Macaca mulatta: one gene and its partners. The protein of the gene in region 7 interacts with the protein of the main gene of each other region in a pairwise test. Links are inferred from orthologs where the notes say so. Each region holds a gene or a part of one and is shown on either strand. Other genes may lie near its edges.

Region 1 (2,843 bases), on a different chromosome or scaffold from region 7:
TGCAGGGGTCACAGAGAGGAACCTGACCCCTAGCACCTCCAACCTTCCCTGGCTTCCAGGGCAGGGAGGGTGGGTCGAGACACAGCCGAGGATTGATTCTGCTTGGATTCAGAACTGAGAGGCAGGTTAGCTTTGAGGTCACTGACCCTCTTCACACCCTGAGGCAAAGCCAAGGACAGTCCTGGCACCAGCCCCTCTATATTCTCCACGAGACATCGTTGAAACAAACTCTGGATGCCAGCTGGCTTGCTGGGTACCACCCAGTGCCAGGGGGCTGAACACAGAAGCCAGGACTGGACATGGGTCAGGGTACGGGAAGGAGACTGGAGACAGCACTCTGTTTATAGTTCTGTCCTGGCCTCCCCACCCCAAGTATGGGGCGTACTCATTAGCTCTGCCATATTTAGCTCAGATGCAGAGCCTGGTCCCAGAAGTGGGCACTGGGGGGACACCCATGGGCCAGCCCCGACAACCACAAGGAAAGAGACGCAACTCTGGCACATGATTGAGCATTTATTGCGGCACTAACAGAAGGTGCTGGGGGCCCCACCATCCTTGCCTCTGCCCTCTTCACCTCCCCCTCTCTCCCAGCTTCTTCTGCCTAGAGCATTCCAGATTCCCCTCACATTTTCCTGGATCAGGGCCACTCCTCCCAGGCACCTCTTGCCCTCACCAGTATCTTTTGTCCCTTCTCCTGGGGCTGAGGGTCCTCAGCTGTGCTGGCCCCCAACTCTCCACCCTTAGTGCCCACCGTCTCTGCCACCCTCCCTTTGGGAACTCAGGGGGCTCAGGCATCCTGGCCTCTGGCTCCCTCCTCCCCTAACCCCCAACTCTGGGCAAACTACAAAGCAGCCATGGCCAGCAGCTCCCCTCCACAGTCCTAGCCAGGAAGGGCCCAGCCCAGGGCGGGCACAGCGGAGCCCAAGTCACAGTCCCTCTCAGCCTCTCTGTGCTTCCTGGGACATGGAGCGGGACAGGGAGCGACGAAGGGCACCGGGCTTGCTGACAGGCACCACAGGGGGCAGCTGCTTGGTGATCTCAGCCACCTCCTGGCGGTCCACACACTGGCCACCCAGGGCTGTCTCCAGCGCCAGCAGCTCCTGCAGCTGGATGGGGGTGTCCTCGCGCTCCTCCTTGGTGGCGCCCATCTTGGCAGGGGTGAAGATGGGCAGTGGCAGTACCCGCTGGTAGGGCAGCTGGTACTCCTGCAGCCCACGGCCGAGGATGCCCATCCGCATCACCAGCCAGGGCGAGCGCTGCACCAGCGCCTGGCACTGCCCCTGCTGGTGGTAGGTCTCATGTCTCTGGGTGTCCTCCTCATGCAGGGAGCAGCTAGGGAGAGGGGAGGGGCAGTGAGTTCTTGGGAGCTGTTGCTCTCCGGGAACAGGCTGGGTGGGGGGCTCCCCAGGGCTGCTGGGACCTGGGAGCGGGAGGGGTGGTTCCCCTTTGCTCTTCCCATGGGGCATTCTTCCTTCCCCCACCCCCAGAAATTTCTCCAGGGCTTCATGCTCTGGCCTCAGGGCTCAGTGAGGGTGCTTTGGAGGAGCAGAGGCAGGACTCTGGCAGACCCACACTCACCCCTCCTCAGGCCGTGTGGACAGTGTCAGATCCTTCCATTCTGCCCAGAAGGCCTCCCGGCGCTCACAGTTCTCCTCGGACACCTCGCAGCTCAGCTCTGAGGTAGCCATGATCACTCCTCACTCCCTCTCCCCTCCCAGGCCCTTTAAATAGCCCCCTCCTCCCCCTTCTCCAGGGGCTATTTTCGGCCCCTCTGGTGTCAGATGCTATAAGCAGAGCCAAGACTCACTAATGGGGGGACGCCGGACCCAGGGCAGGGGTTAGGGTACCTGGACGCTGGCTGCTCCCTGGTCAGAGGTCTGGGGTTCAGGGCCCTATGCCTCCAGGTGCCTGACATTACTCAGACACCGTCTCAGGCCAGCCACATGCCCAGCCTCGTGCCCCCCTGGCACTTGCCCTCTGCCCCACCCACTCCCCTTTGCAGGGAGGACAGCAGCTTGTCTGTAAACAGAACAGGACCAGCAGGAACTGATGCCCCCTCTGGGCTCTGTACCAGGGCTGCCAGGTCCTGCCCTGGCTGTGCTCTCCTCTGCCTGGGCTCAAGGGCACATCCCCAGAAGGGACAGTGCAACCACGTCCTCAGGCGCCTGCACCGAAGGCCTAGTGCCTCGTCCCCAGTCACCCTCACCACACCAGCAGGGGCAGAGGAAGTCAATTCCATACCTGGGAACCTGGGGCATAAGCTTTGGTCAAGTGTTTTCCTTCCCCACAGCTGGTGGTCAGATAAGTGGTCTTAGGAGACAGGACAGTAGGGGTGGAGGGGGCCTCCAGTTCTACCCCAACACCCTGTGTTGGGTGAAATGGAAATCCAGGGGCTCTGATGGATGACAGAAGGCCTGGCTCCAGCTCCAGATCAGCCATAAATAGCCTGTGTGACCATGTGTCAGTTCCTGCCCCTCTCTGGGCCCCTTTCCCCACTTTCTGGCCACTACAAGAGGACCAGAAGACCTCTGGAGCCTGCCAGCTCTGATGTGCTACCTGGGAGGGGACTGGCTCTCCTTCATGGGGAGCAGGGGAGACAGATGGCTGTGGGGACAGTCCAGCACCCCAGGAGTGGCAACTCATGGTCCAAGAAGCTGGCACACAGGTGGTAGGCGTGGGGGGATGAGTGAGAACATTGCCGAGTGGACAAAGCAAAGGGCAGCAGGAGAGGCAGTGACAGGGGCTGAGCTCAGGACCCCGTGGGGACAGCAGAGTACCCAGGAGCAGGTAAGGCCCATGGGCACCCACCTGGGTGCAGAATTGCAGACTACTGATTACTGAGC
Region 2 (4,200 bases), on a different chromosome or scaffold from region 7:
CATATCACTGGACTCCAGCCTGGGTGACAGAGTAAGACCCTGCCTCTGAAAAAAAAAAAACTAATAATAAAATAAAATGCTTGAAGGCGTGTCTTACTCATTATAAATGCTATATACTGGCTATTATTATTCTATCACTTGCATTTGCATTTTAAGTCTCTCTAATTTAGATGGAAAGGCTTTGTCTCTATTAATGGAATTTGAAATATCAGTGAACAGATGTTAAGGAATATTTTGGGAGACTCCTGAAATAAGACTTTGTAGGCAACCACCTACTCACCAAGTCTAGCATGTTTTTTCTACTAAGGGCTGCGCGCCCAGGCAGAAATTATCAAACTTTCTTTGAACACCAAAGAAAGGTACACCTACATGGTCAGCTGTGAAGAATTTTACATGGCTCATATGTGCTTAAACATCTATTTGCTGGACCCTAATGTACATGTTAATTCAATCAAGATTGGGGTATCTACTCATGAGGGAGGGGAACTGAAGCCACCCCATGGAGATAATTCTACTCCATTGGCCGGATCCTCATGCCACCTACCCTACTTCACCACGTTTGTTTATTCAACATTTTATTCTTCTGCAATTATTTACTTCCCTGCACAAAAATGGAAACCTAAATACCATGATGGTCTCCGTGACAAAAAGTGAAAGGAAACTATATAACTCTTAGGAGTAAAGGGAGATGAACATACATTGACAGCCCTAATTATATAGATTGCTTATTTGTTTGGTTGTTTCTTGTTTCAAAACTCTTTTAGAATAAAAGTACTAGGCGAAAGGGGCATATGCCATATGGATTCAGAAAACTTGCTAAAGAAACACAATCATGTTTTTCCACCTCCCTACCTTGCCAGTGACATGTCACTATGACCCTGGTCTCCTGCTTTGCGCAGACTGCCCTCACCTTGGAACAAATTGCTAGTACTGAGAGATCTCAAATCTATTATTGAATCCTACTCTCATTAGGCAAAAGAAAAAAAGACTTCAGATGAAGAATTATGCAATACAAATCAATTTGGAGCCCATCTACCACTGGTCTTATTCCTGGGGAAGTCTTAGTATAATAGATAGATGAACTCCACTCCTGAAATATTATTTCCCTTTTAGTCCTGTCTCTTAAATTGGGAAAATTCAAAGTCCCCACCATAATAAAGAAATAAGAGGGTTTTTTTCTATTTTTCCCATTTCCCTATTCACCGCCCTTCCCTCACATGAGCTTGCTAAAGTTCATAGTCAAAATTCACGTCTAAAATAAAGAGGCTTGAAAAGAAGCTCATGTAATCCCACTCCTTAAATATCACTAAGACATCTGAGATATTGTTTAGATTGTGGACTCTTACTTTGACATGCCAGCATAGGTAGATGGACAGGCAAGCACATCAGATGTCACTGTTTGGCAGCTGATAAAAGTCAGTGGTGCTATAATACTAAGCACAGAGCCACTAGATTAGTCTGTGAGGGAAGGAGATGCCTCTTCCTTCCCTTCAATAGTGGGTTAAACCCCGCTGGCACCCTCTGGAACTACGGGTAAGTCCCTTCTTTATTCCTACTACACTTTTAGGTCTTGTTTTTGTTTTCTGTCCAAATCAGATGAGTGTATACAAAGATGATTTTCAGATAAAAAGTTTCAAAGCCACAACATTATAATGATATTACATGAAGATTTAAAGAGAAAACGACTCATTCATTTCACTGAGCCTGGAAGGCATTATACAAATGATAGAAGGAAAGACAGCTGCGTCTCATTATTTTTAAATCACCATTTTTCCTTGAAAAGGGACACTTGATCTGATGTAATTGTGGTGATATCTTATGAATGCAACATATCCTCTATCAGTCCTCTGTGCAAATCTATGCTATATTAGAGATAGGAAAAAAATGTTAAGATTTTTAAAACAGGAGACTGAATACTACTTTATTTATAAAAATATTTGAAATTCATTTAACATTATTTGGAATAAAGTTATACTGTCAAATAACAGAATCTACTATAGAATTGTTGAACAGTAACTACAAACATAAAGAAAAGACTTACAGAATTACCTGTGTAAATGTCTGTATAAAATTTTGTTGACACATGGATAAAATGAAACTTATGAAATAACATATTTTTAATTAGGCTTTTAAAAATATCGCTAATTATTAACAATGTAGGCCAATATCAACATGTACAAGACAGTTGACATTCTGAAAATATATGTAAAGAAAAAAAGGGAACTGCTTTTGGAAAATATCTACTATTTCATAATTGGTTTATTCCTTGCTATCTGAAATGAGCCTCAATAATGTACCTGCCCAGAAAGAAATTTAGGAATCAAACTCTGGATTCAATTCTGCAACAGACTGAATAAACCGATAACTACAAAACTACTTGTCTTGATATAGACTTTTTTTTTAAGATCTACTCAAGGCCCTCCTGCAGGATGTTTTTCCCCAGCAATTTAAAATGCCTAAAGTAGTTCATTTCTAAAATGCATTCTAGTTTAATGTATTTGTGTTCATAAACTTGAAATTAAGGAATATTTAACTTTTTAAGTATTCTTTTTCAATAGCGTCTTTCACTTGGCTGCTTAGTTGCATTTCTGTTTTTTCCTAAAATTGCTAGTTTTAATTTAACTCTAAACTACATAGGCAACCTTGAAATACTATTTTTTGAAAGTATCCTATTATTTACGATGAAACTCTTTGGTCTGGAAAAGTTTTATTAACATTTTATCCAAGACAGTAACTAAAATAATTACAAGACTTCATTTCAATGATGACAAACAATTTGGTTAATTTTTCCGTTAAAAGTTTGATTTGTCATTATCTCAGTATTGGCTTATACAATGTGAAACAAAATAGGCAAATGTATTTTGAATCAATTTATCTGATATTTTCAATGAAAACAGGATTAGTGTTAAAACAATTTATAAGGCTAGTCTTTGTGTGTAATGTCTATATATAGTTCTGCTTAGGTTTACCATACTAATGGAAAAAAATCAGAGGCAAATACAATCCTTCAAGGTTGATTTTCATGGCAAATGTTTCATCTAAGAAAAAATGAGGATGTACTGTAGGAAGGCAGGAGGGCCACTACAGAGCTAAGCAGGAGGAATGGCACCTGTCTTTTCTTGGTAAGGTATAGACTAAATTCATACGTGTCTTATTTACTTGTATGCGTCCTGTTTGCCATTTGAAAAGAAAAAGTAAAACAGCAAAAATCAATTTCAAAATTAGTCTATCTGAGATCTCCAAAGGTGTGGCAGAAAAAAAAGAAAAAAAAGACCAAAAAACAAAATTAGTCTAAAATACATACTAAACAAATAATAAAAAGTAAAACTCTAAATAATTAAAAGCACATCAAGACCAACAACTAGAAAGTATAATCTAAAAATAACAGAATTATAGGGTATGATTCTGTTTAAAAATACATAATAAAAACAGAAAAATTTGTAAGTGGCTCTGGAATGCAGCCTGTAACATATATTCCACACAAACATATACATACAATCACTCCTTAATTAATATCTAGTTTAGTAATATGGTCAGTTTGGAATCAAGGAGAGAAAAAGCAGCAGTGAATTGTAAGGTTAAAAAGCAATCCACTCAGCTAGGTGCGGTGGTTCATGCCCGTAACCCCAGCACCAAGGGAGGCTGAGGCAGGAAGATTGCTTGAGGCTAGGAGTTTAAGACCAGTCTAGGTAACATAGTGAGACCCTGTCTCTATTAAAGAAAGAAAGGAAAGAAAAGAAAAGAAAAGAAAAAAGGAAAGGAAAGGAAAGGAAAGGAAAGGAAAGGGAAAAGGAAAAGGAAAAGGAAAAGGAAAAGGAAAAGGAAAAGGAAAGGAAAGGAAAGGAAAGAAAGAAAGAAAGAAAGAAAGAAAGAAAGGAAAGAAAAGAAAGAAAAGAAAGAAAGAAAGAAAAAGAAAGAAAGAAAGAAAGAAAGAAAGAAAGAAAGAAAGAAAGAAAGAAAGAAAGAAAGAAAGAAGGGAGGGAGGGAGGGAGGGACGGACAGACAGACAGACAGACAGACAGAAAGAAAGAAAGAGAGAAAGAAAGAGGAAGAAAAAAAGAAAAATTAGCCAGGTGTGGTGGCTTATACGTGTAGTCCCTACTCTGGAGGGTGCAGTGGGAGGATGGCTTGTGTCCAGGAGTTGGAGGGGCTGCAGTGAGCTATGATCACCTGGGTGACCAAGCAAGACACACAAAGAAG
Region 3 (4,151 bases), on a different chromosome or scaffold from region 7:
CTGGTCTTGAACTCCTGAGCTCAAGTGATCCTCTCACCTCAGCCTCCCAAAGTGCTGGAATTACAGGTGTGAGACACAGCTCCAGCCCTATTTGTATTATTTATATTGAGACAGAGTCTCACTCTGACACCCAGGCTGGAGTGTAGTGTCGCAATCACAGCTCACGGCAGCCTCCATCTCCCAGGTTCAAGCAATCGTCCCACCTCAGCCTCTGGAATAGCTGGGACTCTAGGTGCATGCCACTATACCTGGCTAATTTTTGTACTTTTGTAGAGACGAGGTTTCACCATGTGCCCAGGCCAGTCTCAAATCTCTGAGTTCAAGCGATCCACCAGCCTTGACCTCTCAAAGTTCTGTGATTACAGGCGTGAGCCACTGCACCTGGCCCAGACTTCTGTCTTAACTACTTTCCCTTTTCTTTCCCTCAGTGAGCTCTGGCTCCAAAGAGTCTCTAAGTATTGAAGAGCTCTTCACATGCATGCACCCCTGCTCTTCCCCAGGAAACATGCCTGTGCAGTTTTCCATTTTAAGTACTTACATAAGCTCCCTAGCTCTGGGGAAAGAAGGGAAATTAACCACTTATTGAGACCTGAGTCTGTGCCAGTCTCCATTATATTTTCTTCCTCAAATATACCTCACTGACTCATGGGTCCTGTGGTCCTGGACCTGTGCAGGGTAACATGGCAGGGTATTGTCTCAGATTATGAAGTAAAAAGGGTAGAAGGTGTTGAATCTTTTCTCTCTTTCTCCCTACCCTTCTTACCCTTCCCTCTCCCACTCTCCATCACCCGCCTTCCCACCAGTTAATTTCTCTTGTCTGTTCACCCTAAGATATATATTTCTGGGACTCTTGGGTTAGGGATGCTCTTAAGAAGTCCCACACTAGGTAGATGCAAACGTGTCCTACCTCCAGTGAGTTCCATGATCAACTTGCTGGATTTCCTCTTCTTATTAGGGGCCGGGGTTCCTGAGAGCGGCATTGTGGAGGTGGATTCAGCCTGGATAGGGTGGGAAAGAGGACTTGGAGGATGGACAGGGACTGGGAAGAGTGAGTGTCTGTAGGAGAGCACTACTTCTTAACCTGGGTTTAAGGGCTTGAGGGGACAAAAAAATATATTTTTTTCTTTTTTAGAGACAGGATCTCACTCTGTCGCCCAGGCTGGAGTGCAATGGCACAAAAACATATTTTTTTCTTTTTTAGAGACAGGATTGTACTCTGTCGCCCAGGCTGGAGCACAATGGCACAATCATGCCTCACTACAGCCTCAACCTCCCTGGGCTCAGGTGATCTTCCAACTTCAGCCTCCCGAGTAGCTGGGACTATAGGTGTGCATCACCATGCCTGGCTAATTTTTTTTTTTTTTGTAGAAATGAGGTTTTGCCACGTTGCCCAGGCTGGCCTCAAACTCCTGGGCTCAAGCAGTCCTCCTGCCTCCCAAAGTGCTGAGATTACAGGGGCGAGCCACTTCGCCTGATCCAGATTTTCAAAGAAGTATGTATTTCCCCAAAAGGTGAAAACTAGCGCTTTAGGGCTTCTCTTTTCCTGGGATGCAGGACAGGAAGTATAGATGCACACCAGCCCCTATTGTCTACCAACTTGTTGTGAGCTGTTTTTTATAGAGTCAGTGCAAGAATTAGGAACATAGCTAGGGGTAGGGAGTGTTTTAAAAAAAACAAACAAACAAACAAACAATAATACAGGCAGGGCAATGCACCCAGGTTTCATCAACTTGGCATGATTTGAAGTTTTTATTTGCATTGGGATATCAGACTGGGACTGTGATTCCAGGCTCTGGTCTCTCTTCAGTCTTCCCCCAGTCCCCAGGAGGACAGAGAAATGTTCTGCCAGGGTTGAAGAGATTCAGCCAAAAACACTCTCCATAGGAAGGAGAGGTTGTTGCTCCTTCATCAGGCCAGCTGGAACATGGCCTGGGAAGTCATGGCCCTGCTCCTGCAATCACTCCCGCCACAGACCCCAGAGTGGGGCAGGTGTGGAATTGGGAAGGGTAGGGAGCATCCAAATCCCGACACATGTAAATTCAGCAATATCATAGCAGTGGGGAATTGGGGTGGGGCAGAAACATAGTAATAGGATCTGGCAATGGAAAGGGACAAACTGGGATAAGATAGACTCCAGTCCCTTCTTAAGAGAAGTTGGCACTCAGTGAAATGCTGTCCTCTTCTAAGTCCTGTCTCACAAAAATACATCTGCAACTCTACTGACTTAGTGGGGTCTCCCTTCCCATTCTTCCAGTGCCTCCCCCGACATCTCCATTCCCCCCAAACTCCTGGGCCCCCTCCTTCCAACTGGACAGCTGGGAGCTGAGCATAGATGAGGAGAGGGGAGACTCCCCCAGGATCAAGAATCACAATTGTAGACACAGAAATAGAAGTCAACAGAGTGGGCTCCAACCTTTCTAACGATAGAGCTGCAGACTTACCGGCTGCTCGGGCGGTGGTCAGCTCTCCCTGGGGTCCAGCAGCTTTGGAGGACTGAGCTGCTGTGACCGGAGAACTCGAGCTGGGCAGGCGTGGGGGCAGCACTGGCAGTGGGGGAGGGAAGTTAGTTATTAATAGAGATGATGAGTGCAAGCAGCTCAAATGGCACAGGGGGTACTGAGACCCTGAAACCAAGATCCCTCCCTCTTTGCCTAGAGGCTCAGGAAGGAGGGAAAAGGCCTTTGGGATTCCCCCACTGAACTGTCTGAGCCAGGAATCAGTCTGCCCAGGGACTCCCCTTCACATTGCACCTAGAGCCTGAGATCCAAACAAGCACTTAGGTAGAAACTGAAGACTGAGAGGGAGACAGGAAGTAGACAGCAAGTATTGGATAGGAATTCAGTCAGAGAGAGAGTCTGGGGAACATGCCCTGAGGGCCACACAGAGCCAATCCAGGGCAGAGTAGAGAGACCTGTGGGTGTATTTGGGGCAGGGAGGGCTTAAAGCTCTATGTTTGGGGACAAAAAGGGAAGTCTTCACAATGGAACTGCTCTTTTAAAGTTCCTGGATAGCAAACCCAGTACCTCCTACAAAGGAATTATGTGGGGAATACTTGACAATTATTCTGTCTGCCTCACTCTATTCTTTCCTCTTGAGCTCTGGCAGTTTTAAGAAAAGGCAAATACTTGGATCTGCCTTTTTTTTTTTTTGAGATGGCGTTTCACTCTTGTTGCCCAGGCTGGAGTGCAATGGTGCGATCTCGGCTTACTGCAACCTCCACCTCCCTAGTTCAAGCGATTCTCCTGCCTCAGCCTACTGAGTAGCTGGGATTATAGGTGTCTGCCACCATGCGCAGCTAATATTTGTATTTTTAGTAGAGATGGGGTTTCGCTACGTTGACCAGGCTGGTCTCAAACTCCTGACCTCAGGTGATCCACCCGCCTCGGCCTCGCAAAGTGCTAGAATTACAGGCGTGAGCCACCGCCAGGATCTAGTCTCTAAGGAGTTATTCTCTAGCCACCACGCCCAGCCAGGATCTGCCTTTTAACCTCCATTTGCTGTTGAGGTGCTCAGTTCAACCTGCTGGGCGGGATAGACATCGATTTCTCCATGAGAAGCACATATAGGCTCTCTGAGGTTTCTATGTGATATTTCCTTCAAAGGGAGCACATACCACATAGGATCTGGACTGTGCCATTTGTACTGTTCCAGCAGAGTTTCTGGGCAGGGTCACAAGCTTCAGAGCCCCCCCTTGGGGAAAGCCTATCATTTGCCCAGCTCCGTCTTCAGTAGCTGCATGATCTTCCTCCACCTTCTGCTTAGATTCTGGAACCAGCTGTGGCAGCACTTCTGCTGCAGCCACTACCACCCTGTTGCTGCTACCTGAGGAAGTGGCTTTGTTTATTTATTTGAGACAGGGTCTCACTCTGTTGCCTGTGCTGAAGTGCAGTGGCACAATTTGGGCTCACTGCAACCTCAGCCTCCACAGGCTCAGGTAATCTTTCGACCTCAGCCTCCCAGGTAGCCAGGGCTGCTGGTACATGCCACCACACCCAGCTAATTTTCATATGTTTTGTAGAGACAGGGTTTTGCTATGTTGCCCAGGCTGGTCTTAAACTCCTGGGCTCAAGCAATCCTCCTGTCTTAGACTCCCAAAGTGCTAGGATTACAGACATCAGCCACTGTGCCTAGCTGGCTTTTTAAAAAATTAT
Region 4 (4,133 bases), on a different chromosome or scaffold from region 7:
CCTCAAGTGATTCACCCACCTCGGCCTCCCAAAATGCTGGGATTACAGGCGTGAGCCACTGTGCCCCGCCTACCTCACATCTTGCAAACAGCAGCAAGAGGCATTGGGGTCAGGCAGGCTGTGTGACTTGGAGCAAGCGAAATCCTCTCTCCCAGCCCCTGCGTCTCAGCAGGAGGCATCAGGAGTCTTAGATCGAGGGCCCGGCTCTGCCACATCCCAGCTGGGTGAGCCTGGACTAGTCATTCTTTTTGGAGACTCAATTTCCCCAGGTGGAAAATAGGCCCCACACGGAGGCTGGAAAAATATCATGCGTGGGTAAGAGCGTAGGTTCTGGAATCGGCCCAGGGTTTGATTCCCAGCTCTGCTACCTACAACCAGTTGTGTGCCCGGGGGCAAGTTGCTTAACCTCTCTGTGCCTCAGTTTATTCAGCTGGACAATGAGGATCCTAACAGCACCCGCCGCATGGCAGTGTTGAAAGGATTAAATGTGTGAATGCAGGTATAGCTCTCGGAACAGTGCCTGGTTCACAATAAGCATTATTTCACTTAGCTATTATTATTATTATTATTATTATTATTATGTTTGAGACGGAGTCTCTCTCTGTCACCCAGGCTGAAGTGCAATGGTGCAATCTCAGTTCACTGCAACTTCCACCTCCCAGGTTCAAGCAATTATCCTGCTTCAGCCTCCCAAGTAGCTGCAACTACAGGCGTGCGCCACACCCAGGTAATTTTTTTTTTTTTTTGTATTTTTAGTAAAGATGGGGTTTTGCCATGTTGCCCAGGCTGGTCTTGAACTCCTGACCTCAAGTGATCCGCTCACCTCTGCCTCCCAAAGTGCTGGGATTATAGGCATGAGTCACCGCGCCTGGCCTGTTGTTATTTTAAACGTTTGTGTGAGGAGCTGGTGAGAAGGTGGAGGTGAGGGTGTTGCTGGAAGTGAGTATGTGAGCAGTTCTTGGATGATCAATCCAAAGACAAAGGGGCTGGGTCGGGGGAGGGCTGGGTGGCCGCCCCCACCTCTGCCTGCTGACAATTCTCCCACAAGGTTCAGCAGGGAAGAAAAACTCAGCCTCTGGGTCGTCAGAGCCAGGTTCAAATCCCACCTATGCCATTTTCCTGCTGTATGACCCCAGGCCAGTCACTAGGCCTCTCTGGACCTTGTCTCCTGTGAACTGAGCCTACCCCATAGGATTGCCAGGATCCTCTGAGCTTGGCCGTGAGGTTGGCTGAGCACAGGCCCTGGCATGGAGTTGGAGCCTGGAACCCTAGTGGCTGCTATTATTGTTGTTACTACTTTTTTTTTGTAGAGATGAGGTCTCACTATGTTGCCCAGGCTGGTCTGGGATTCCTGGCCTCAAGTGATCTCCAGCATCGGCCTCCCAAAATGCTGGGATTATGCATGTGATCCACTGCGCCAGGTCCTATTGTTATTATTATTTTATTCACTGGACCCATAAAGGAGAAGGGACCTCCAACAGCGGTGGGAGAGGGGGATAGGAAGCAGGTGGGATTGTGGGAGGGAAATTGGGACCATGGTGAGCTGAGGCCAGGGAAGAGGAACAGGGACCCGCCAAAGACCTTGGGCGCTGCTGTCCAGGGTGGTTATTTTTAGACTCTGGCAATTGCCTGCCGCCCCACCCCCAGCTGCTGCCCCTCCCCACCCCCACATTCCGGGGCTCGGCTTGCACCAAGTCAGCAGGCCCAAGACAGGTGGGCCAGGGTGGCTGGGAGGACACGGGTCCAGGCCCCGGGGTTCGGCTCCGGGGCTCAAGGACATCCCGGGCTGGCAGCCCAGACCCCCTCCCTTCAGAGGATGCCCCCCCCAGTCCCTGCCAGGGACACGCCAGGAGAGGGCCCTGAGGCAAGGTGGGGGACCCCCCCCAAGAGACATAAGCAGAAAGCCTCAGAGCCACATACCCCCACCACCACAGACTCCCCAGATCACACTGTAAACTGAGTCACACAGTCACACTTCCAAGCTCAAGGACACGCCCAAGATAGAGGCACTCATGTGTCCGCTACCAAGTCAGTACAAGGTCACAGAGACCTACACGGTAGCAAACGCAAAGAAGCCCGTGACACCTGCTCTTGCAGACTCTGCTAGGCGACAGACACACCTCCCACGGCTTGTGGCGCCAGTGTTGGCGACAAACCGTAATGAACGCGGGCCTGGCTCAACAGCCCCTTGCAGGGGGTGACAGTTGGCAGCTGTCAGGACCCCTTTCATCTCTGGGATCCCTCCCCATAACCCAAGACTTGTGCCGCAGAAATCACAGGTCCCAGCGGGGGTTCAGGCGTCCTCACAGATGGAGGGGACTCCCAGACACACAAGGTCAACCTTCCCATGCACCGACCTGCCTTTGTATAGGAGGATGTTGGTGGAGCAAGGGGTGACACACAGGCCCTTTCCCAAGCCAAGACAGCCTCTAGCACCCACAGAAATCCCCTACTCTGGCTCCCACCCAGATTCCCACCCCGTGCAGTACCTGGCTGGGCTGGGCTGAAGGGGGCTGTCTGTATCCTGGAGGTGACACTGACCCAAAGGAAGGGCCTGCAGCCGTGGGGTTATATAGGGGGACCTAGGCTGTGCAATTGGCTGGGAGGGGCTGTCCCCAGGGAGGAGTTCTGGAGGGCAGCTGAGCCTCTCACCTCCCTGCTCGGGCACCATGCCCACTCTGAACCCAGGCATGCCTTGCGCCCAGCCCCATGGCCTTGTATGGGCTGAGCTGCCCCAGGGGCTGGGCCCAAGCCCCCCCACCAAGCTGATACCCTGACCAAGTGCTGAGTCGGGCTGGCAGTGGGGACAGCTGGCCCCCCGCCGGGAACATGGGACAGTGGCTGGGAACGTCCCAAGCACGTAGAGCCACCTTCCCCTGGCCCCTGAGTCTCCTCCAGCCACCAGCCCCTCCTGTGGCCCTCGGCTCCTCCTGTGCCCCCTGGGCCCTCACCCCTACCCGAGTCCCAGCGGCACCTGGGGGAGCCATGCTGTTGCTCCAGGAGGACCCGGGACCCTGTGAGCAGGAGGAAGCAGAGGCCGGGAGAGGCTGCGTGGCCGCCTGCTGCCACCACCTATAGGGAGGGTCTGACCAAGCCTAATTGCAATAGAGGGCAGTCTAACCCCAGAAACCTGCGCTTGGGTGCCCCTTCCTCCTAGGGACTGAGTGGAGGGGAAACTGAGGCTGGCTGAGTTGGAGAGATTCAAACTCAGGGCAAGGGTGGGAGGCGGTGGTCACCCTCCCCCCGCTTAACCCTTGCACTCTCGGTGCCACTGGGAGATTTCTGCTGTGCGGGGGACAGGGAGGGTCTCGGCCGCTAGGAAAGGAGTTATTTTTAGAGGGCGCTTTGCTGTCTCCTCCCGGCAAAGGCCGAGACCCGAGGCGCTGGGTATGGGGGGGTTCGGGGGCAGGTGTTGGAGGGGGCTTTGCCACGTGTCCTGGTTAATTATAACTGGGCGTCTCGGGTGTCCCTGGGCCTCACCTCCTTACAAGGGCAGCCACGGGGCCCTGGGTGGCTGCTCCCACCTCCCGGGGAAGGGGGCTGGGCAGCGATGCGGTTCAGAGTGCCAGTGCCAGACTCGCGCAGATCTGGGCATAGCAAGCACTCTGGGCGCCTCGGCTGTGACCAAGGACTTCCAGGGCTGAGAGGGAGGTTCTATGGAGGCGGGTACAGTATAGAGGAAGCCGCTTTCTCCTCCTGGGACGCGCCAAGATTGCAGGCTGATTGGGTCTCCTCCTCCAGGGAGCTCCCAGGATTGTGAAGAAAAGAATGTCCCTTCCTTCCGGGTTCCTCCCTCTCCCAGGGTCTCCTGGGTCTCCTTTGTATCTTCTTAGGCAGGTGAGGACTGGCTTAGAGAAAGGGAGCCTCTCTGCCTCTCCCCCAGACTCCTGATCTGAGGGAGGAGGGGAGAGGGGTGCTTTAGAAATGTTACACGGGGCCCAGCCCTTTCCCAGCAAGCTCAGATCGGCAAGGGTCTCCTTCATGGTTATGGAAACTGAGGCCCAGAAAACTAAGTGGAACTGGTCTCAAAACAATAATCGATCAGGCACTTCCTGAGGCTACAACAAAACACAAAACCCCTACCCTCCTGGAGGTGATATTTCAAGAGGGTCACAGAGGAGGGAACAGCACAG
Region 5 (4,162 bases), on a different chromosome or scaffold from region 7:
GGTCTGCAAGGGGAGACTGGGGTTGTGTCTTGTTCATCTCTCCCACCTACCCCATGGCTGGAACAGGCCAGGATGGCACCTGGGGTACTCAGAGAGGTCATGTAAAGAAAGGGGGGAAAGGGGATTCCTGGCGGGGGGCACAGCCACAGCAAAGGCAAGGAAGTGTGAAAGTACCTCCTGTTCCCTGGATGGATAGAGAGGTGCTGGGCTGTCCCTCCCCCCAGGAGCCTGAACCTCAGGGAAGCCTGACCAGAATCTTACCTGCCTCTGTGACCTTGAGGTCGAACTTGACCTTGGAGGAGCCAGCAATGACTGCGTAGGAGCCCTGGTCCGCAGGGCCCACCTCCCGCACTGTCAGTGTATGCCGTGTGCCCTCTGTGGCCAGGCCATACTTGCTGCTGGCTCCGATGTCACTGCCTCCGCGCTGCCAGCGCACCTTCACTCCTGCCCGCTCTGTCTCCACCTCAAACACGGCAGGGCTGCCTGCGGCCACTTCCACTGACCGTGGCTTCTTGCTGAAAGCTGAGACTGTAGGGCCAGGTGGAGGCTACAGCGGCCCCTGGTTGGAGCGTGCACCCCACCCCTGCAGCCCCTCTTAGTAAATACTGTGCTAGCACTTTCCACGCATCCCCTCGTGTAATACTCCACCAGTTCTCCTAGGTAGTTGCAGTTATTCTGTTCATTTCTCAGAGGACACTGAGGCTCAGAGAAGCTAAGCAGCTCCTCCAAGATCACACAGCTAGTAGCCGGAAGAGCCAGGGCTGTGGTCCTGACCTCCACGCAAGACTTTTGCTGCATGTGTCCCCTGGATACTCCACTTTCCCTGCTTGGAGACACCCGTGATGGACTCGACTTCCCTTCCCCCCACCATCTGGGGCCCTTGGCAGGGGGCGGGGAATTCTGCCTGCTTGGAATGTGGCCAAATTTGTCCTCCAAGGACCTCAGGCTGAGAATCAGCAACTGAGATAAAGCTGGCCTAGGAGGGCGTTGGGGGATGGGGACCTGGATCTCTGCCCTGGACAACCTTGGTAAGGGCATAGCCCAGGCCCAGGACCCTGGGCTGTGATTTTCCCTGCCCTTGGCCTGGGTTCTGGGGCTCCCGACTGTCTTCTCTCAGAGAAGGAGGGGCTGTGTCACCCTCAACATGGGGGCCACACCATATAGGCTCATGAAGCAGATAATGTCACAGCCAGGAGGAACCAACCCAACGCCGCCACTACCCCCAGCGCCCCAGGTTGGGAGACTGAGACCCAGAGTGGGTAGAGGCTGGTCCGAAGGCATGCCGTGAGCCTGGCTCAGCTCCACACTAAACACGGGCTCTGTCTGCGGGCAACCTTGCTGTGGAAGGCGAGGGAAATGGGACAGGGAAGGGGTCCTTTGCGTTCTCAGAATGGGTTGACCCCGGGTGCTTCCTGTCTCGGCTGCGTCCTCTGTCTGTGTCCCTGACCTTGGGTTTACCTTCACCTCTCGTCAGAGGGATAGGAAAAAGAAACCGAGAATCAAAAAGGACCCCCGAGGACTGGCTGCCCCTGTCCTGGGGCTCAGAGGCCACGTCCTCATCAGCCCCCTCAAGAACTCCCTCCTAGCCCTGCTCCCCAATTGTGGACACCCCCCTGCTCCCCCACTTAGACCCAACCCTAGTCCTAAAGCTACCTGGCTTCTTCCCCGGCTCAGGCATCCTGAGAGACGTCACACCAGGCACCAAGCAGGCACAGGTCACCCAAAGAGGGACTGAGTGGGGTCTTGTCCTTCCCACTATATATGGGGACCTCCCCCCTCCCCAGGCTCTGCTTATCTGCCTCCTGTCCAGCCACCTGCTAAATATAGATAGATTCCAGAGAGCTGAGGTCTCTCCAGGGAGAAGGTAGGGCCACATTGTCCCTGGCTGGCTCCTGTCCCTTCCCCTCCACCCCCCTCAGCACAATTCTGCCTCCCCAACCCTTGGCGAGTCTCAGGGGTACCCCCTAGCCCTGTGTGTGTCCCTCTTACAGCAAATTGTATGGTGGGAGCATGCTGGGCCCATAACCCTAAGGCTAACGGGTCAGGAGCATCCTTGCGGGCAGTTCAGGCAGTGGTCATGTCCACAGACCGTGGGGCCAGGGTGACTCTGAGTCCTGGCACTGCCATCTCTTTAATCTCAAAGCACCTGGTTTCCTCATCTGTAAAGCAGGGCAGGTGATAGCAGCACCCACTGCACAGGATTGTCACACGTATGAGGTTGGTTTATAATTTTTAAAATGTTAGGCCGGGTGTGATGGCTCATCTGTAATCCCAGCACTTTGGGAGGCTTTGGGGAGGCCGAGGCAGGCAGATCACTTGAGCTCAGGAGTTCGAGACCAGCCTGGGCAACATGATGAAACCCCATCTCTACAAAAAATACAAAAATCAGTCAGGCATGTGACGCACACCTGTCGTCCCAGCTACTGGGGAGGCTGAGGCCGGAGAATCGCTTGAGCCCAGGGGGTCAGTGCTGCAGTGAGCCGTGTTCGTGCCACTGCACTCCAGCCTGGGCAACAAAGTAAGACCCTGTCTCAAAAAAAAATAAAAATAAAAATAGAATAATGAAGACACAACACCATTTTGCCTTCTCTTGTGGCCCTGAAGTAGGACTAGGGAGCTGCAGGGTTGGGCTGCAGTGAGCCCTCTGAGGGTGAGGAGGTGTGGAGGGGCATTTGCCGCTACGGTGATGACCCCAGAATCTGGGTTCCCTGAGGTGTCTGACAGCGTTGGGAAGCCTCTCACTCCCGTGCTGTCTACTGCCACTTCTTGAAGGAAAACACAGGACTCACAGGCTTCTCTGCTCAGCTCGGTCTGTTTCTCCCCTGCTGTGGCGAGGAGCTGGAAAGCAAACAGACCCTGGGGGTCCCACCAGGGATTCACCTGGGTCTAAAGTCCTGCTAGGCGTGCAGCTCATGAGAATGCTGTGTGACCCACAGGAGCTTTGGGGCTTAAGGCCTGTCCTTGGAATGCTGAAGAGTATCCTCTTCCACATAAGCGAAGCCTCCTACTCCATGTTGACGTGTCGGGGACAGACCTGGAGTGTGATCCAACTTGGCCACTCAGCGGCTGTGACCTTGGGGAAATAATTTGACCTCTACAAGCCTCAGTTTCCCATTCTATAGAGTGATATTAGACTCCACATCTCAAGGTTGGCAGGTACTAATTGACCAGAAAATCCAATGTTGTTGCTATGGTCATCATCATCATCATCATCATCAAATGAGTTCAAACCTCATCAAGGCTTAAAACCAACAACTACCACCAGGAGTAGAGAGCTTTTAAATAGGATCTGTTTCCCTCATCACAATCGAGGACTTGTTCTTTCCACCAAACTCTAACTCCTGGTCAGGCGCCTGTGTCATTGGTCCTCATGTTCCCAGGGTCCAGCATTGGGTACAGTCCTCAGTAAACACCCGATGGACAAATGACAAAAAGAGAGACGTCGCAGCACACACGGGCCAGAAGAGGTGTACAACAAATTTTAAAAGAGACTCCGTGCTGCAAGAGGATGGATTGAGAATAACTTTACTTGTTTTCTGGGAGGAGGTTAATGGATGGGAGGGGTGAGAGGGGAGATCTGATTTACACATGGACTTGAGACTCCCAAGGAAGTACCCCGGGTCGTCCTCAGCAAGGTTGCCCCGGTGGGGTCTGACGCCCAGGTGGCCTCCCGGGGCCGGGGCGGAGTCCTGGAGGGAGGCGAAGCGGGATGTGGAGGGGGGCTGGAGTGGGGGGAATGGGCGGGTGAGGCGAGGCCCGGCCCGCCACAGTCCTGCCTCTGGGCCCCGGGAGCGTCCTCCCTGTGTCCGGGCCGGGCGAGGGCTTAATGCTATGGCCAGCCGGGAGGCCTGGCGGGGCCCGGCGGGGGCTGTGGGCTCAGTGGGGCGGGTGGCGCCGCTCGGCCAGGCCCCCACGGCCCAGCACTTCGCCGCTGAACTGGTAGGTGAGCTTCTTCTTCACCTTCTTGACCTCTCCCGTCTTGCCGTAGTTGCGCAGCGCGCGCGCCATCTTCTGGTACGTCATCTTCTTGCGGTTGCCCTTCTGGATTCCCCAGCGGTGCGCCAGCGCCTCCTTGTGCTTGGACGAGAACTGGAAGGTGCCCTTGTCCTTGTCCACCCACCAGATGCTGTCCTTCATGTCGCCGCTGCGGAGCAGGTCCAAC
Region 6 (3,500 bases), on a different chromosome or scaffold from region 7:
CCTCCCCACAAATATTCCAGGACAACTGTCCCATCTCAAGATCCTTAACTTAATCACATCTGCAAAATCCCCTTCTCGGCTGGGTGACAGGCAGGTGGCTTGTGCCTGTAATCCCAGCTACCTGGGAGGCTGAGGCAAGAGGATCACGTGAGCCCAGGGTTTGGGAACAACGTGGGCAACATAGAAAGACCCTATCTCAAATAATAATAATAATAATAATAATAATAATAATGGCCAGGCATGGTGGCTCATGCCTGTAATCCCAGCACTTTGGGAGGCCAAGGGGGTGGATCGCCTAAGGTCAGGAGTTCGAGACCAGCCTGACCAACATGAAGAAACCCCATTTCTACTAAAAATACAAAAATTAGCCAAGCCGGATGGCGGGTGCCTGTAATCCCAGCTACTCAGGAGGCTGAGGCAGGGGAATCACTTGAACCAGAAGGCAGAGGTTGCAATGAGCCGAGATCACGTCACTGCGCTCCAGCCTGGGTGACAGAGCAAGACTGTCTCGAAAAAAAAAAAAGGAAAAAGAAGAAAATGGAGAATCCAGGCTGGGTGCGGTGGCTCATGCCTGTAATCCCAGCACTTTGGGAGGCCACGGCAGCTGGATTGCTTGAGCTTAGGAGTTAAAGACCAGCCTGGACAACATGGCAAAATGCTGTGTCTACAAAAAAATTGAAATAATAATTAAAAAAAAAAATACCCGGGCAGAGTGGCGCATGCCTGTAGTCCCAGCAATTCTGGAGGCTGAGGTGGGAAAATCGTTTGAGCCCGGGAGGTCCTAGCTGTAGTGAGCTAGGATCACGCCACTGCACATCAGCCTGGGTGACAGAGCAAGACCCTGCCTCCAAATAAATACATAGATAATAATAATAGGTCGGGTGTGGTGGCTCATGCCTATAATACCAGCACTTTGGGAGGCTGAGGCAGGCGGATCACCTGAGGTTGGGAGTTCGAGACCAGCCTGACCAACATGGAGAAACCCCGTCTCTACTAAAAATACAAAATTAGCCAGGTGTGGTGGCGCAGGCCTGTAATCCCAGCTACTCAGGAGGCTGAGGCAAGAGAATTGCTTGAACCTGGGAGGCGGAGGTTGCAATGAGCCGAGATCGCGCCATTGCACTCCAGCCTGGGTGACGAGAGTGAAACTCTGTCTCAAAATAACAACAACAACAATAATAATAATAATAGGCCGGGGCGCGGTGGCTCACACCTGTAATCCCAGCACTTTGGAAGGCTGAGGCAGGTGGATCACGAGGCCAGGAGATCGAGACCATCCTGGCCAACATGGTGAAACCCTGTCTCTACTAAAAATACAAAAATTAGCCGGGCGTGATGGGGAGCACCTGTAGTCCCAGCTACTCAGGAGGATGAGGCAGGAGAATTGCTTGAACCTGGGAGGCGGAGGCTGAAGTGAACTGAGATCACACCACTGCACTCCAGCCGGGGTGACAGAGCTAGACTCAGTTCCAAATAATAATAATAGTAATAATAATAACAACAACAACAAAATGGGCATCTGGCTGAAGAAGTAACATTTGGACTCCCAGGGCAGGGCAGGCACCCACCGCCAGCTTAGCCTGACGTTCGCGTTCCTTCTCAGTTCTGAAGCGCTGTTGCTCGGCTCTCTCCGACCGGCGCCGCTCCTGGGGAACGGAGAAGAATAAAGGGGTGCAGGGACGTACCCCCAGTCATCCCTCCCCAGAGTGGGTGAAGAGTGGAGATAAACAGGCTGGAGTGTGGCCACCGACTTGGATGAATTCCTGAAAGCCTCAGGCTCAGCTCTGTACTAGAAGGAAAACCATTATCTGCATCTCCCAAGATGCAAGGGAGAGAGAGGAAGACTGGGGGGCACCCGGTCTCTCGGCTCACAATGCGCTCTTTCAAGGCAATCAGCTCCTCTTCCTCCTTCTTCCGCTGCTCAAAATGCACGTCGATGAGCGTCTGCAGCTCCAGCAGGTCTTTCTCCATGCGCTTGCGGTGGATGTCCTGCAGGACACACGGGGAGTCAGTCCTGGGAGACCCTGGAGAGGGCAGCGGCCTCCCAGCGCCTCCCCCATGCAGGACGGTGAACTGGACCGTTTCCCAGGTGGTGTCCAGCAGGTGGCAGCAATGCCTCGTGTTTGACACTAATCAGCTCTTGCAAAGACAGAGCTGCCCAAAGACGGGAGTGGGGAGTGGGGAGTGGGGACCTTTTCTCCCAGGCTGCAGTGAAATGGCGTGATCTCGGCTCACCGCAACTTCCGCCTCCCGGGTTCAATCGATTTTCCTGCCTCAGCCTCCCGAGTAGCTGGGATTACAGACGGCCCGCCACCACGCCCGGCTAATTTTTGTGTTTGTAGTAGAGACGGGCTTTCACCATATTGAGCAGGCTGGTCTCGAACTCCTGACCTCAATTTCCCAAAGTGCTGGGATTACAGGCGTGAGCCACCGCGGCCCAGCCCGGCGCCTTTTCATGATTGAAACAAAAGCCCCTTGAAGACTAGCAACTGCGCCTGGGGAGGGGTCTCTGACACTTACATCGAAGTCAACACGCTCCCCTTCGGGGATCTTTGGCGGGATCAAAGGAGGCACCACGGGGCGGCTGGGTGGACGGAAACATAGAGACCATGAGTGGCCCGACCTCCCTGAGCCACCTCCCACCTCCGGGATGCGCTGCCTGGTGAGGTAGCCGCCAGCCCCCTGAACGTGGAGGGTCCCAACTGAGGCAGGCTGTCAGTGAAACGCACAGAATCATGTTTTATGCTGATTACATGTTGAAATGATAAAAATTTATGTAACAGATTTTTAGAACTGTGCTATGAAAATTAAATTTTCCTATGTTGTTGCTGTACTTTAAAAGTATGCCTAGCAAGCTTTTTTTTTTTTTTTTTTTTTTTTTTTTTTTTTTTGAGACAGAGTCTTGCTCTGTCTCCCAGGCTGGAGTGCAATGGTGCCATCTCGGCCCACCACAACCTCCGCCTCCCAGGTTCAAGCAATTCTCCTGCCTCAGCTTCACGAGTAGTTGGGATTACAGGCGCCTGCCACCACACCTGGGTAATTTTTGTATTTTTAGTAGAGATGGGGTTTCACCATGCTGGCCAGCCTGGTCTTGAACTCTCGACCTCAGGCGATCTGCCTGTCTCAGCCTCCCAATGTGCTGGGATTACAGGCGTGAGCCCCCGTGCCCGGCCTTTAGTAAGAAATTGTAAGTGATGTGTGTGTCTTGCCATCTATTCTATTGGGTGGTGCTGCTCTGAGGTTCAGCCTTCAGCCTGCTCTGATTTCCTGCCACTTCCTTGGAATTCTCTTTTCTGGGTTTCTGAGACAACCAAGAGCGATTCCAGGATGAAGGGGACAGGACTTAGGGGTCGCTGGGCAAGGGGAGGGAGGAGGTGAGGACAATCCCCAGTGGTCTCTGGGCCAGGCAGCCAAGTGCACAGTGGGGCTACCATCTCCATCTTGGAAAAGTTGATGAGCTCCTTCGGGGCGTCATGTGTGGGAAGACAATACGGCTCACC
Region 7 (3,500 bases):
GGTATCAATCCAAAAACTCCTAAACCCTGAACTCCCCAATCCTAACCACCTTTTCATACCTAATGTCTAGCACAAAGCCTGGCCCACAGGAGAAGCCTAGAACATTTTTATTGAACTGAACTATGAAGTCTTATAACTGAGGCTTTTCTGTCCTCCCCAACAAGCTCTTTGAGGGCAGGGCTGTGTCTGGTTTATCTCCTTGTATTCCACCTCAGTGCCTGGCCTACAGTAGGGGCTCAATTAATAGTCCGTAGATGGGACACTGTATTTTGCAGCTTACAAAGTCATTTCATAAATATCCTCTTATTTGATCATCATAAAATCAGTAAGAGGAAGGTGGGGGGTGTTACATGCCCATTTGACAGATGAGGAAACTGAGGCTCACAGAGGTTTAAATGACTTTTCCAAGGGTCCATGGGTGGTCAGTGGAGAAGCATAACTGGAACCTTAGAGCTGTCGAGTTGAACTGACCCCACCCAGACCCTTCTAGTCCTGCTCACCAAGAGGAAGGTGGCTCCCCCAGGCTCGTCCAGGGACTGGATGGCCGTCTCCACCAGCTTTGTGGACTTGTCCAGCTGTTCCTGGTACTGCTGGATGAGGGCCTCGATGAAGCTGAGCTTTTCCTCCTGCTCCTGCGTGATCCGCTGCAGCAACTCACTTTTCTTCTCATCCAGGATGGCATACAGCGTGTCAAATTTCTGGCTCAGCTCTTCCTTTACCTGGTGACTGTTCTCCTGAGGACGGAAGTCTTGCAGTCACATTCTGTAGGGTCCTTACTCCCTGTCCGCTACACTCCCTTCCTGGTACAGTAGCAAGGAATCTAAAGCTAGAAGAGATCTCACTACATACATCCCCACACTACAGAAGATGAAACAAAGGCTTAACAAGAAGAAAACACTCATCTGGCCTCACAGCTACTTAGTACACCAGTGATATTTGGAGGCTGATGCCTTGAAAAACAGCTAGCCCCTTCTTCCAAAATAGAGGCTCTAGGGTCACATGACATTACATATTCTTCCTTGTTCCTGCACCCTCCCCCTGTCCCCCAACCTCAGCTGGTCACTGGAGCATCACTTCTCAGACCAATGCAACAGTCACCAACGTGGGATCTGCCCTCTCTTTCTCTTTTTTTTTTTTGAGATGGAGTCTTGCTCTGTCACCCAGGCTGGAGTGCAGTGGTGCGATCTTGGCTCACTGCAACCTCCACCTCCCAGGTTCAAGTGATTCTCCTGCCTCAGCCTTCTGAGTAGTTGGGATTACAGGTGCGCCACCACGCCTGGCTAATTTTTGTATTTTTTAGTAGAGATGGGGTTTCACCATGTTGGCCAGGATGGTCTCGATCTCCTGACCTCATGGTCCCCCCACCTTGGCCTCCCAAAGTGCTGGGATTACAGGCATGAGCACTGCGCCCAGCTCTCCGTTGCCTTTTAGCTGTGTTTCCCTTTTAGCTTTGTGACTTTCAGCAAATGAATGTATTTGCTTCCATTCAGTTTCCTGGGCCTCCCGTTTGTCTCAGATCACACTCTTCCCTCCCTTTCAAGACCAAGACTGGATTCAGGAAGCTCTGCATCATTTGGTCCTAGGAGAGGTGGAAAAACAGCTCGTTTCCTAGCACCCTCCTCAACTGACGCTCCCTTCTATGTTCTTTTCTGTAAAATGGGTGTGACAATAGCATCTCATCAGACCCAGGAGCCTCTCATGGGTTCATGGGTGATCAGAATGTTCCCCTCCTTCCTACCCTTCGCCCGACTCTTGGTCCACTAGCAATTATGACGACCCCTTCCCCTCATCTCATCTCCAGGTCCCTACCCCAGGTGAACATGGAAAATCATGGAAGCTTTTTTCAGGGATAGAAAAGTTCCATTCTGCCCTCAACAGTCTCACTACTCAAAGTGTGGTCCGTGGACCCAGCAGCTTGGGCAAATCCTGGGAACTGGCTAGAAATGCAGCTCTTATGCCTCATTCCAAACTGACTGAATCAGAACCTGAATTTCAACATGATCCCAGGGTGATTTTCATGCACTTTAAAGTTTGGGAAGTGTTGGTCTATAGGAAAGAACGGTGCTCTGAAAACAATTTGTGCTGAATAAACACTGAGAACTATTGATGGGACACTCCCTGAGTTCAGGGACCATGTCTGTCTGGTTCATTCCTCCATCCCCCACATCTCGGGTGGGGCCGGACACACAGCTGTGCTTAAGAAGCATTTGTTGAGAGAGTGGGTGAATGGATTAGTCCCTCCCCTGCCATTCCTGCTTGACCCCCAGGCTCCAGGCCCCAACCTTTAGCCACAACCCATGGGTGAGCCTTCCCCAGAGACCAGGCTGCCCTGGAAAGCTCCAAACCCCCAGGCAGAACTATTCTGTCCCCTCACCTTGGTCACTCGACAGGAGTCCTCCAGCTGAGTGATGATGGTCTGCACACGGTCATTCCCCGCCACCAGCATGGAGATACAGTTATTCAGTTCAATCTAGATGGGGGTGTGGGGGTCAGGAGAGGAGAGATACAAATAGCCTCAAGGCCTACCCACCGGGGCATGGCAGCAACCTGGCTCCCTCCCTCCCCTCTGTGCTAGAAAGAGCCTCCAGCAGGGATCTGGCCCCTCTTTCAGGTACTGCTCAGCTTCAGAGCAGAGGATATTAGAAAGATACTGTATCCCTTATTTAACAGATGAGGCCAACAGCAGGCAAGTGGGCTGCCCAAAACACACAGCAAGGAACTGGCAGAGGAGGGGCTTGCTTCTAAGAAAGAAGGGGAAAAAAAAAGAAATAGAGTTGGAGACGTCTAGAAGACAGAGACCTGGAGAAGAGTGCGGAGTGGGGAAGAGAGAGTATGGAAAGGGGGTGGCTACTGCTGACTGCACGGACAGGGTGGCAGGCCCCCACAGGCCCAAGGCCCCAGCGAAAAGGCTCTAAGCTGCCTCCTGCTGCTGGGGAATGCGAAGTCTAGGAGAAGAGGTGAGAGGCACAGGAAGTGGTATCTGGGGGATGGAGAAGCCGTGGCCCGAGAGGACCCCAGTGGCCTGGCTGGGGCGTCTGACCGCTCCCCTCTGGCCACAGCCAGGTGCTCTCGAGTGGCTCTAAGTATAACCATGAGCTCAGCTTCCTCCCCCAAGGAGGGCCAGGGCTGCTGTCCCTGTGGCCTGGGAAGTCCCTCCAGAGGGACTATTCCTGAAAGGCCGGATCAGCAGATCTACAGGGATCAAATCTGCCTTCTGAATCATCCTGCCCAGCAGGCCCAGGCTGGGGGTAAAAGTGGCTGGAGCCAGTACCTTTTGTCCCTGGAAGACACTCTGCAATGGGGCCACCTCGCAGGCCTTGTGGACCCCAAACACCTTGCACATGGAGCAGGTGGGCACCTCACACGTGAGACAGTAGATGTTGATTTTCTCATCTTCGTGCTCCTTGCACATGGGGTGACTGCCCTTCTGCAGCGGCCGACTGCAGTGGAGAACAGTCACAAGTCATGGGGGTCCTGTGTCCTGCATCCCCCTCCCCAGC

Evidence for each region.
Region 1: the proteins of TRIM63 (region 7) and TCAP interact in a two-hybrid assay, tested with the Homo sapiens proteins (3 studies listed by BioGRID and IntAct). The link is inferred for Macaca mulatta from reciprocal best matches to the Homo sapiens genes TRIM63 and TCAP.
Region 2: the proteins of TRIM63 (region 7) and MYOT interact in a two-hybrid assay, tested with the Homo sapiens proteins (2 studies listed by BioGRID). The link is inferred for Macaca mulatta from reciprocal best matches to the Homo sapiens genes TRIM63 and MYOT.
Region 3: the proteins of TRIM63 (region 7) and MYOZ1 interact in a two-hybrid assay, tested with the Homo sapiens proteins (2 studies listed by BioGRID and IntAct). The link is inferred for Macaca mulatta from reciprocal best matches to the Homo sapiens genes TRIM63 and MYOZ1.
Region 4: the proteins of TRIM63 (region 7) and CKM interact in a two-hybrid assay, tested with the Homo sapiens proteins (2 studies listed by BioGRID). The link is inferred for Macaca mulatta from reciprocal best matches to the Homo sapiens genes TRIM63 and CKM.
Region 5: the proteins of TRIM63 (region 7) and MYBPC3 interact in a two-hybrid assay, tested with the Homo sapiens proteins (2 studies listed by BioGRID and IntAct). The link is inferred for Macaca mulatta from reciprocal best matches to the Homo sapiens genes TRIM63 and MYBPC3.
Region 6: the proteins of TRIM63 (region 7) and TNNT1 interact in a two-hybrid assay, tested with the Homo sapiens proteins (2 studies listed by BioGRID and IntAct). The link is inferred for Macaca mulatta from reciprocal best matches to the Homo sapiens genes TRIM63 and TNNT1.

The regions. Positions count from the first base shown.
Region 1 is NC_133421.1:64,014,218-64,017,060, reverse strand, and holds TCAP (telethonin), read right to left. Parts: upstream 1,710-2,843; 5' UTR 1,689-1,709; coding exon 1,579-1,688; intron 1,333-1,578; coding exon 939-1,332; 3' UTR 501-938; downstream 1-500. UniProt on the Homo sapiens protein: Muscle assembly regulating factor. Mediates the antiparallel assembly of titin (TTN) molecules at the sarcomeric Z-disk.
Region 2 is NC_133411.1:146,725,692-146,729,891, forward strand, and holds the start of MYOT (myotilin), read left to right. Parts: upstream 1-1,400; 5' UTR 1,401-1,533; intron 1,534-4,200. UniProt on the Homo sapiens protein: Component of a complex of multiple actin cross-linking proteins. Involved in the control of myofibril assembly and stability at the Z lines in muscle cells.
Region 3 is NC_133414.1:75,910,093-75,914,243, reverse strand, and holds the start of MYOZ1 (myozenin-1), read right to left. Parts: upstream 2,801-4,151; 5' UTR 2,442-2,800; intron 999-2,441; 5' UTR 981-998; coding exon 908-980; intron 1-907. UniProt on the Homo sapiens protein: Myozenins may serve as intracellular binding proteins involved in linking Z-disk proteins such as alpha-actinin, gamma-filamin, TCAP/telethonin, LDB3/ZASP and localizing calcineurin signaling to the sarcomere.
Region 4 is NC_133424.1:57,842,517-57,846,649, forward strand, and holds the start of CKM (creatine kinase M-type), read right to left. Parts: upstream 2,801-4,133; 5' UTR 2,490-2,800; intron 1,630-2,489; exon of another isoform or gene 1,480-1,629; intron 1-1,479. UniProt on the Homo sapiens protein: Reversibly catalyzes the transfer of phosphate between ATP and various phosphogens (e.g. creatine phosphate).
Region 5 is NC_133419.1:18,245,413-18,249,574, reverse strand, and holds the start of MYBPC3 (myosin-binding protein C, cardiac-type), read right to left. Parts: upstream 2,801-4,162; 5' UTR 1,877-2,800; coding exon 1,654-1,876; intron 529-1,653; coding exon 262-528; intron 1-261. Other genes in the region: SPI1 (transcription factor PU.1), read right to left, coding at 3,877-4,162. UniProt on the Homo sapiens protein: Thick filament-associated protein located in the crossbridge region of vertebrate striated muscle a bands. In vitro it binds MHC, F-actin and native thin filaments, and modifies the activity of actin-activated myosin ATPase.
Region 6 is NC_133424.1:67,454,997-67,458,496, forward strand, and holds part of TNNT1 (troponin T, slow skeletal muscle), read right to left. Parts: intron 2,660-3,500; coding exon of another isoform or gene 2,585-2,659; coding exon 2,521-2,584; intron 1,990-2,520; coding exon 1,873-1,989; intron 1,647-1,872; coding exon 1,569-1,646; intron 1-1,568. UniProt on the Homo sapiens protein: Troponin T is the tropomyosin-binding subunit of troponin, the thin filament regulatory complex which confers calcium-sensitivity to striated muscle actomyosin ATPase activity.
Region 7 is NC_133406.1:214,956,506-214,960,005, reverse strand, and holds part of TRIM63 (E3 ubiquitin-protein ligase TRIM63), read right to left. Parts: intron 3,441-3,500; coding exon 3,272-3,440; intron 2,471-3,271; coding exon 2,375-2,470; intron 735-2,374; coding exon 501-734; exon of another isoform or gene 483-500; intron 1-482. UniProt on the Homo sapiens protein: E3 ubiquitin ligase. Mediates the ubiquitination and subsequent proteasomal degradation of CKM, GMEB1 and HIBADH.